Linked DNA regions of Struthio camelus. The main gene of each other region encodes a partner of the protein of the gene in region 2 in a complex. Links are inferred from orthologs where the notes say so. Each region holds a gene or a part of one and is shown on either strand. Other genes may lie near its edges.

Region 1 (3,904 bases), on a different chromosome or scaffold from region 2:
TCCACTTCTCCTGTGGCATGCTGGGCTTCAGCTTGCAAATCAATTGGTGGAGCATCTTCAACAATTCTCTGCACAGACATCTGAATAAACTCATCAAAAGAATCCAGCTGCTGCCTGACTAGGCCTTTCTCATCAAAGTAGGAGCTAAAAAAAAAAAAAGTATATTATTCAAGAAGAGCTCTTAAGTTAACTCACGTACTCCACATATCGACAAGTTCAAGACTTGTTTATTATCAAACCTTCAGGAGTCCTGGAATACAATATCAAAATACAAGCATTGACTTTTCTTGAGGCACAAGTTTCAAACACAGCTGCTCAGGACTGTTAAAAACTTAAATTTTTTCTCTCAGTATTTGAAGGCATAGACACGACAAAGTGACAGACTTGCTGCCCCTTCTTGGTTAAGCCATGGCTGTATGCACAGTTTATCTCAAATTAGAAGTGAAACAGGATGACTTAAAACCTCAGTAAAGGTAGCTTCAGCTAATATCTTCTACAATGCACATGACAAATTACTTTGCTGCAGATCATTTCCCAAGCTGCAGTAAACTGAGAGCATACAATTGTAGGCCCCTCATTCAAGACAACAGTTCTCAGAACTTTTCTTAGCTCAGATCACCTCTGTTCCAGCCACACAGAAATTTCCAGCTTCACCCCTTCCAGCAGCTTCTGGATTCCGTCTAACCTTTGTTTCACCTACCAAAACACTCCAATTGTAGCTATCCAAGCCCGAATGCCAAGCTCGCAGCCTAGCTTCTAATGGGATGATCTAAACACGTTCACTGCATTAGCTCCTGCCAGCAAGCTCCTCTCCTCCCACGACCCTGCATTCCTGAAGCCAGCCAGGGAACCCTTACTTACTCCAGCTTTTGCTCCTTCACCTACAAGACCTCTGCAGAAAACTTGTAACAACTACCTCCCTATCAGTGACTTCAGGCTTCTCCAAGAACGGAAACATAGCCTTGCCTATTGTGCCGCTGCCACAGTGCACCCTGTCAGCATAGCCTGCCATTGCACAAAAGGAAGGAGGAAGGGAAGGAAAGGGCAACCTAAATCCTTACTGGGAGTGAGCTCTAGCCCCAGCTGAAGGATTTGTCCCAGTTCCCTCCCACCTGATTCAGAATAAATTTAACGCTCATCACCAGGCTGCCAGACAAGAGAAAGGACCTCCTTCTGCCTCCGAGGTTTCTCATCCCTACTCTCTACCCAGAGAGGCTACAGGTCTAGCGCTGCAGGTACGCCCTTCCGTTTGGGAACTGCTGCTCTAAGACACAAAGAGAAACACTTTTTGCCTAGTTCCACACAGCCTTCCACTCTCTCAGAGGCGCAAGAAGCTGCAGAGCCTGGGCCTTCATGTAGTACTAATAAAACACTAATATGGCAAACTGCTAAGTATTGATCTCCTAATGTCAGCACGCACTGCGAGAGTAACGGGCAAGATGATGTGCGTGATTTGGGATCAAAATAATTTCGTACTTCAGTTCAGATAGCCTAGCTGAACTGAGAGTAAGTAGGGCTTCTTAATCCCTAACAGTGTATATACAGGGCCAGCAGTCAAAACCTTGCTGTTTCTGCTTAAAGCCCTTCTGTTCAAAAAGTAACGAAACATATTATTTAGTAGAAACAATTCTTGCATTTCCATCACGTGTTGCTAGCAAACTAGATACTACCTTTAAGACCCAAAGCGTAAAGAACAGTGAATTTTAGAAAGTCACCTAATAACAATCCAGCATGCTTCTTGCCACAAGTCAGGAGTGATTTCATCATCATCTTCATCATATTGCATATCTGTCCAGGAAGCATAACGTGCAAGTTAGACTTCGATATCCACGTTACCTCTACTTGCCTACTAACGCGGGGCCGGCATACGACTGGCAGAGGGGCACCCCGGCAGCGCCCATGGCCGCAGGAGACTGTGGAAGCCCCTCACGCCGGCGCCGGTAGCTCCCCCGTCTGCACCGAGCCCCAAACGCGGACTCCGCGCGAGCCCAACGGCTCTCCCGCCCCCACCCCCTAGCGGGCAGTGCGCGACCCGAGCCCAACGGCTCTTCCCCCCCCCCGCCCCCAAGTAAGCCGTAGACGAGCCCAACGGTTCTCCTGCTCCCACCCTCCCTGGTAGGCCGTGGGCGAGCCCAACGGCTCTCCTGGCCCCTCCGCCGGGGCCGGCCGAAGAGGATAACGGTTCAGGCCGGGAGCGGCCGCCCGCCCTCACCTTCGTCCGCGTCGTACATGGCGGCGGCAGTAGGGAAGGCCGCAGGCGGCGGCGGCCGACACAGAGGCGAAGAGAGCGCGGGCCACCACTACCGAGCCGCCGACGGAGGGGGAGGCGCCTGCGCGCCTCGCGCACACACCTAGCAGGCGTCACCGCCGCCTCGCGCAGGGCCGAACCGTGGCCCGCTCCCTTCCCCCGCCCCGCCCCGCCCCGTCGGAAGCACCGCGGGGGAAGGCGCATGCGCGGTTGCTGCGCCCACGCCCTTCCTCTTCCCGCCGCACGGCGGGCGGGGCGGAGCCGCGTGGGAGCGCGCGGAGCCTGTGGCCGCCGGCGGGTGGCGGCGGCGGCGCTCGCCCGCGCCATGCAGCGCCTGGGCCGGGCCCTCACGGGCGGGCTGGCCCGGGCTCGCGCCTGGCGGCCGGTGCCGCGGCGGGGGGCGGCGGCGGCGAGCGGCGAGGAGGAGCAGTTCGTCTTCCCTGAGTACGAGCCGGAGCCGGTGCGGTGGGAGGCGGCGGCGCCCCACCGGGAGGCGGAGCCGGGCGGGGAGCGGCGGCGGCAGCGGAGGGCTCCGAGGGCGGCGGCGGCGGCGGGGCTGCCCGACCCGTCGGTGCCGCCGAGCGGCGTGAGCTGTTCGGGCTGCGGGGCCGAGCTGCAGTGCCGCGACGGCGCGGCGCCGGGCTTCCTGCCGGCGGAGAAGTACCGGAGCCTGGCGGGCGGAGCGGGCGGAGCGGCGGGGCTGCGCGCCGCCGTGTGCCAGCGCTGCTGGCTGCTGGCGCACCACGGCCGGGCGCTGCGGTTGGCGCTGCCCCCGGAGCGGCACCGCCTCGTGGTGAGCGCCGCGCTGCGCCGCCCGCCGCGCCACGGCCGCGGCCCGCTCCTCCTCTACCTCCTCGACGTGCTGGAGCTGCCCGACCCGCTGCTGCCCGAGCTGCCGGCGCTGCTGAGCCCGGCCACCCCCGCCGCCGGCGTCCTGGTGGTGGGTAACAAGGTGGACCTGCTGCCCCGCGACGGCCCCGGGCACCTGGGGCGGCTGCGGCGGCGGGTGGCGGCGGCCTGCGCCCAGGCGGGCCTGCGCGGGGCCCCGCTGGTGGGCGTCTGCCTGGTGAGCGCCAAGACGGGCTTCGGCCTCGAAGGGCTGGTCAGCCGGCTGCAGCGCTCCTGGCGGGGCGCCGGCGACGTCTACCTGCTGGGCGCCACCAACTCGGGCAAGTCGACGCTCTTCAATGCCCTGCTGCGCTCCGACTTCTGCAAGTCCCGCGCCCCCGACGTCGTCGACCGTGCCACCGTCTCACCCTGGCCAGGTCAGGGCTGCTGTGACCGAGGTCCTGCTGGGCACGTGGGGGACAGCCAGCCCCGGCGGGAGGCTCGCTCGCTGGGCCCAGCCTCGGCCTGTGGCCCCGCTGCCTGGCGCCCCGGGGCAGTGCGAGCCCCCTGTGAAGCGTTTGCCCATCTCATGGCGCCGCCGCGTGTCACAGCGCGGAGGGGGCTGACTCGCACACGCTCTGGGAAGCAGGCGATCTGGTCCTCCCTGATCTGCATGCCTTGCCATCTCCCTGTGAATCGGGGATGCCCTCCGGGCTAAAGGGCAGCTGGGAGGGGGGCTGGTGAGCACCCGTAAAGTAGTCATATGCAAAGCCAAGCTGCCTTGCGAGCAGGACGTAGCTAGGGTGCGTTGAACCGATCTAAACGCCG
Region 2 (3,904 bases):
AGAAATTAACAGTTCAGAGTGTGGCTAATGTTAAGTAGGCTTTACTTTACACACACGTGTATAACTAAGAATTCTGATAATATTTCCCTACCCTAGTTTTCCCTGAAAATACAGAAAAAAAACTATTCAAGTTGCTTTCTAGTTTTGTACAAAAGAGACTCACCCTATCTCTTGTACTTCCTCGTACTGCTCATGCTCCCAAACTACTCATCACTATGGTTTTTTATTGTCTGTTAAGTAGTCTCTCTGGAGTACTTCCTGGGCTAGCATAATACAGGCTAAAAGGAAATTAAATAAGCTTTTTTTTTTGGAGTAGATGTTATTGCTTTCTCCCTCAAAGCAAGGATAAATTCAGCCTAGTTATCCTAACTAGTGAAGAGAAAAAGTACCGTTGCTTCCAAGTTTAGATCCAGAGGAATCCAAAGGACAAAAACCTGCATGCACCTTCCTATGGTCTACCAACGGTATTGACTTTGGAATTTCTTTTTTTTTTAAATATGCCAGAAGACAGCCAAATTGTAAATTCAGACCATGTGCATGCATGGTTATGTTGAAAGAATATTAGACATCAACTTGGAAGAACAATAAATATTTAAGGGTTCTTGCTAGCCCAGCTTTCTCATTAAACTAGGCAGCATCCTGTGCTCACAGAACGATATCCCCTATAAGCACAGACATGCCTGAAAACTCCTGGCTCGCTTCAAAAATGACTAACCCATGCCAGACTAATAGATAATCAAGTTCAGTACCCTGTCTCCAACGTGGCCAACAGCAGACACTTCAGGAAGAGCAGGAAAACAAGAGAAGAACAGGTATTTCCCCACTACGCTCTTCCAATTTCTGCGGGTTTTGCCTCAGCACTTCTTGAGGAATGGGAACATCTCCACTTTTAATATCTCAGTACCCTTTTCTTGCATAAGTCGGCCTAATGGTTTTCTGAGCCTGTGCAAAGTTTTGATGTTCACGCACCCTACTGCAACAAGTTCCCAAACTTAATTATGTATTGTGCAAAAATGCTTGCGTTGAACCCCCACCTAATGCATCCCTAATTTGACACATTCCTAATTCTTGTGTTAAGATTGATTCTTCTCTATTCACCTTCTCCTTGCAACTCCTGACTTTATAGACCTCTATCAGACTTCCAGATCCCTCATCTTTCCAGCCTGGATTAGCATATTTAGGAGGTCTTTGCAGAGGCACGATTCCTCGTGTCTCTGATCATTCTTGTTGCCCTCCTCTGTACCTTTTCTAGTTCTACCATATATTTTTCACAATGCGGAGGATAAGAACGGAACCGTATACTGTATTCATGCTATATAAGGCTAAAATAATATGTTCTGTTTTGTTGTCTTTCTTTCCTAATAATGCCCAATGTTGAATTTGCTTATTTGACTGCCACTGACATGACAGTCGCAGAACTATCTTTATCTATTGTAAACCCAAGATCTCCTTTCTGAATGACAATAAGCAGATGAAACCCAGCCACTGTGCAAGTATAATAATTAAAATAATTTTTCTCTATGCATATCATTTTACTTTTTTCAGCTTTAAATTTCATCTGCCCTTTCATCAACCAGCCACTCTCGATCATGATATACTTCTGCAGCTTTCTGCTATCAGTTTTCATTTTTATTGTTCTGGGTGCAGAGTTTCACAAAACCAGACATTCAGGTATCACTATGAAAGAGGAAGCCAGATGCACTGACCTACCAGATGCACCACCACCACCACACTTGCTTTGCATTGCAGGACTTCTGAAATTCCCCACTATTTTTTCAAGAGCCACAATAACAGGTTTTGGTAGTTGAAGAAAGATGCTGTCACACCCTTCCCACCACCCAGAACCAATATTTTGGTCCTCCCCTGTCTCCATGGGTTCTCTCATGCTGTTCTGGGCCTGCTCAAGTGGTCCCCAAAGGCAGAAGAGAAGGATGTTACCATTTCTTCCCAAATGCTGGTCCAGAAAAATGGGGGTACCCCTACAAAGGACCAGAAGGAGGCCAGGGCACATACTCCCCCAGTGGCTAGCGAGCCTCCTCTTTCCTGAGCCAATGCTAGCTTGCTGTCGGCAAAAACAGTCAAGTGATTTAGACAGATGGACCTTCCAGAAAATAAGGCTGATGCCTAGGAAGTGATGGCCTACTTAGTGTCAGCACACACAAAACTGGCCCTGCTGCTCAAAAGGTGCTTGTTTTGATTCGATGATCTTTACGCCAGCGCTCTCTTCCCTTTCCCACTGACTCTGCTAAAGCTTCTCTCCTCAAAGGTGGGCTGTAGTGACAGGAGCAACATAAAGAACACAGAAAAGTTCCCTTTGGTTTTTAGCCAGGATATAAACTTGGAAGTTCTCAATTTCATAGATCTGAGGGAAAATAAAAGTTAGAGCACCTTACTTATGATCCTTAATAAAACTAAAAGGCAGTTCTTAGGTCACCTGCTTTTCCTTAATTCACCTCAGCACCCACCTGGGAAGCGCTCTCTTGCTGAGTCCCCGCCACCCCAACCCTCTCCCCAACGAGGCGGCCGAGCCCCAAACACGCAGCGCCCGCGCGGCGCCCCGGCTCGCTCCCGCCGCTTCCCCGGGACCCCTCAACCCCCGCCGCGGGCCCGAGGCCCCGCTGCCGCCCGGCCCGGCCCGGCCGGGGAGGGCAGGGCAGGGCCCGGCCGCCACAGGCCGCGCGGGGCCGGGGGTGCGCCGGCGGCCTCTCACCTTCACCAGCCACATGCCGGTGTTCTGCTTGGCCCCGGTCAGGTCCAGCTCGCCCTTCTCGCTCATGGCGGCGGCGGCCCGGGCAGTCCCCGCCGACCGGAGCGGCGCCGGGCAGCGACGGGAAGGGAAACGGGTGCGCGCGCGGAACGAGCGGGGAGGCGCCTTCCTGCTCCCGCGCTGCGGGGCCACCGTCCCCCGCCGGACGCAGATGGGAACCGCACCGCGCCGCGCGCAGACGGTGGCTCGCGGCGGACCAACTTCCTCCGCCCGGCGTGGCGTCAAGCGCAGAGGGGGGCGGGACTCCGGCTCCGCGCTTGGCGGAGCCGCGGGTTCGAGTCCCCGGGCCGGCGGCCGTGCGGGGGGGCTCCTAGGCCGAGTGTGAAAATGTCGCGGGGAGGGGGGGCAAAACGGGAAAGGCCAAGGCCGTAAAGGAAGTGGGCAAACGAGGGACAAGAAGTGATGGTCAGAGCGAAGGAAAATGATTCCCCGCGTTTGTGGTACAAACGTGACCGAGGAAGCTGGTGGCTCTCCCATGAGCCGAGGAATAAAACTGTCTGAACATGCCTCTGACAAAGCTGAACTGCTTAAAAACTGCAGCAGGTTACCTGGAACAGGACAGCAACCCCGTTAGCAGTTGCGGTAATTAAAAAATAAGGTACTAAGCTGAGATAAAGCTGCGTGGTTTCAGATCGTCCTGTCCCACCGAAGGTGGTCCTGGCTCATGAAATCTGCCATCGAGAGCAATTGCAGTCGCCCAGGAGGGTGGGTGGGCGGGCAAGCGCAGCCCCGGGCTTTAAAACAGGGGGAAGGGACGGTCACAGACCTGCACACGTGGCTTCGGTTTCTGGAAAAATATTAGATCTCTCAAATAATGAGAGAAATTATTTGAAAGGACCTAGAAGAAAACAGAGACGAGAAGCGGTTAAGATGGACTGGTGAAGAGCAACATGTCATACCAGTCTGATTTCCTTCCGTGACGGGGTGAAGTGACAGATGTCGAACGTCTCCACCAAAGTCAGACTTCTGATATTAAACCCTGTGACATTTTGAGAAGCTATCTGGAGAAATCGGTCTAGATGAAGCTGCTATCGATTGATGAAAAGCTACTCGGAAAGACCGTGCAGCGGGAGAAGTTATTAATAGATGACTATCAAAAAGAAACAATATATGTGTGGTGCTATCCTCGGTCTAACT

The links.
Region 1: GTF2F2 (region 2) and POLR2B share a complex: the UniProt entries of both Homo sapiens proteins name them as parts of the TBP-based Pol II pre-initiation complex. The link is inferred for Struthio camelus from reciprocal best matches to the Homo sapiens genes GTF2F2 and POLR2B.

What each region holds. Positions count from the first base shown.
Region 1 is NC_090945.1:3,516,166-3,520,069, reverse strand, and holds the start of POLR2B (DNA-directed RNA polymerase II subunit RPB2), read right to left. Parts: upstream 2,437-3,904; 5' UTR 2,232-2,436; coding exon 2,213-2,231; intron 1,789-2,212; coding exon 1,716-1,788; intron 145-1,715; coding exon 1-144. Other genes in the region: NOA1 (nitric oxide-associated protein 1), read left to right, coding at 2,574-3,513. UniProt on the Homo sapiens protein: Catalytic core component of RNA polymerase II (Pol II), a DNA-dependent RNA polymerase which synthesizes mRNA precursors and many functional non-coding RNAs using the four ribonucleoside triphosphates as substrates.
Region 2 is NC_090942.1:190,911,303-190,915,206, reverse strand, and holds the start of GTF2F2 (general transcription factor IIF subunit 2), read right to left. Parts: upstream 2,979-3,904; 5' UTR 2,777-2,978; coding exon 2,711-2,776; intron 1-2,710. UniProt on the Homo sapiens protein: TFIIF is a general transcription initiation factor that binds to RNA polymerase II and helps to recruit it to the initiation complex in collaboration with TFIIB.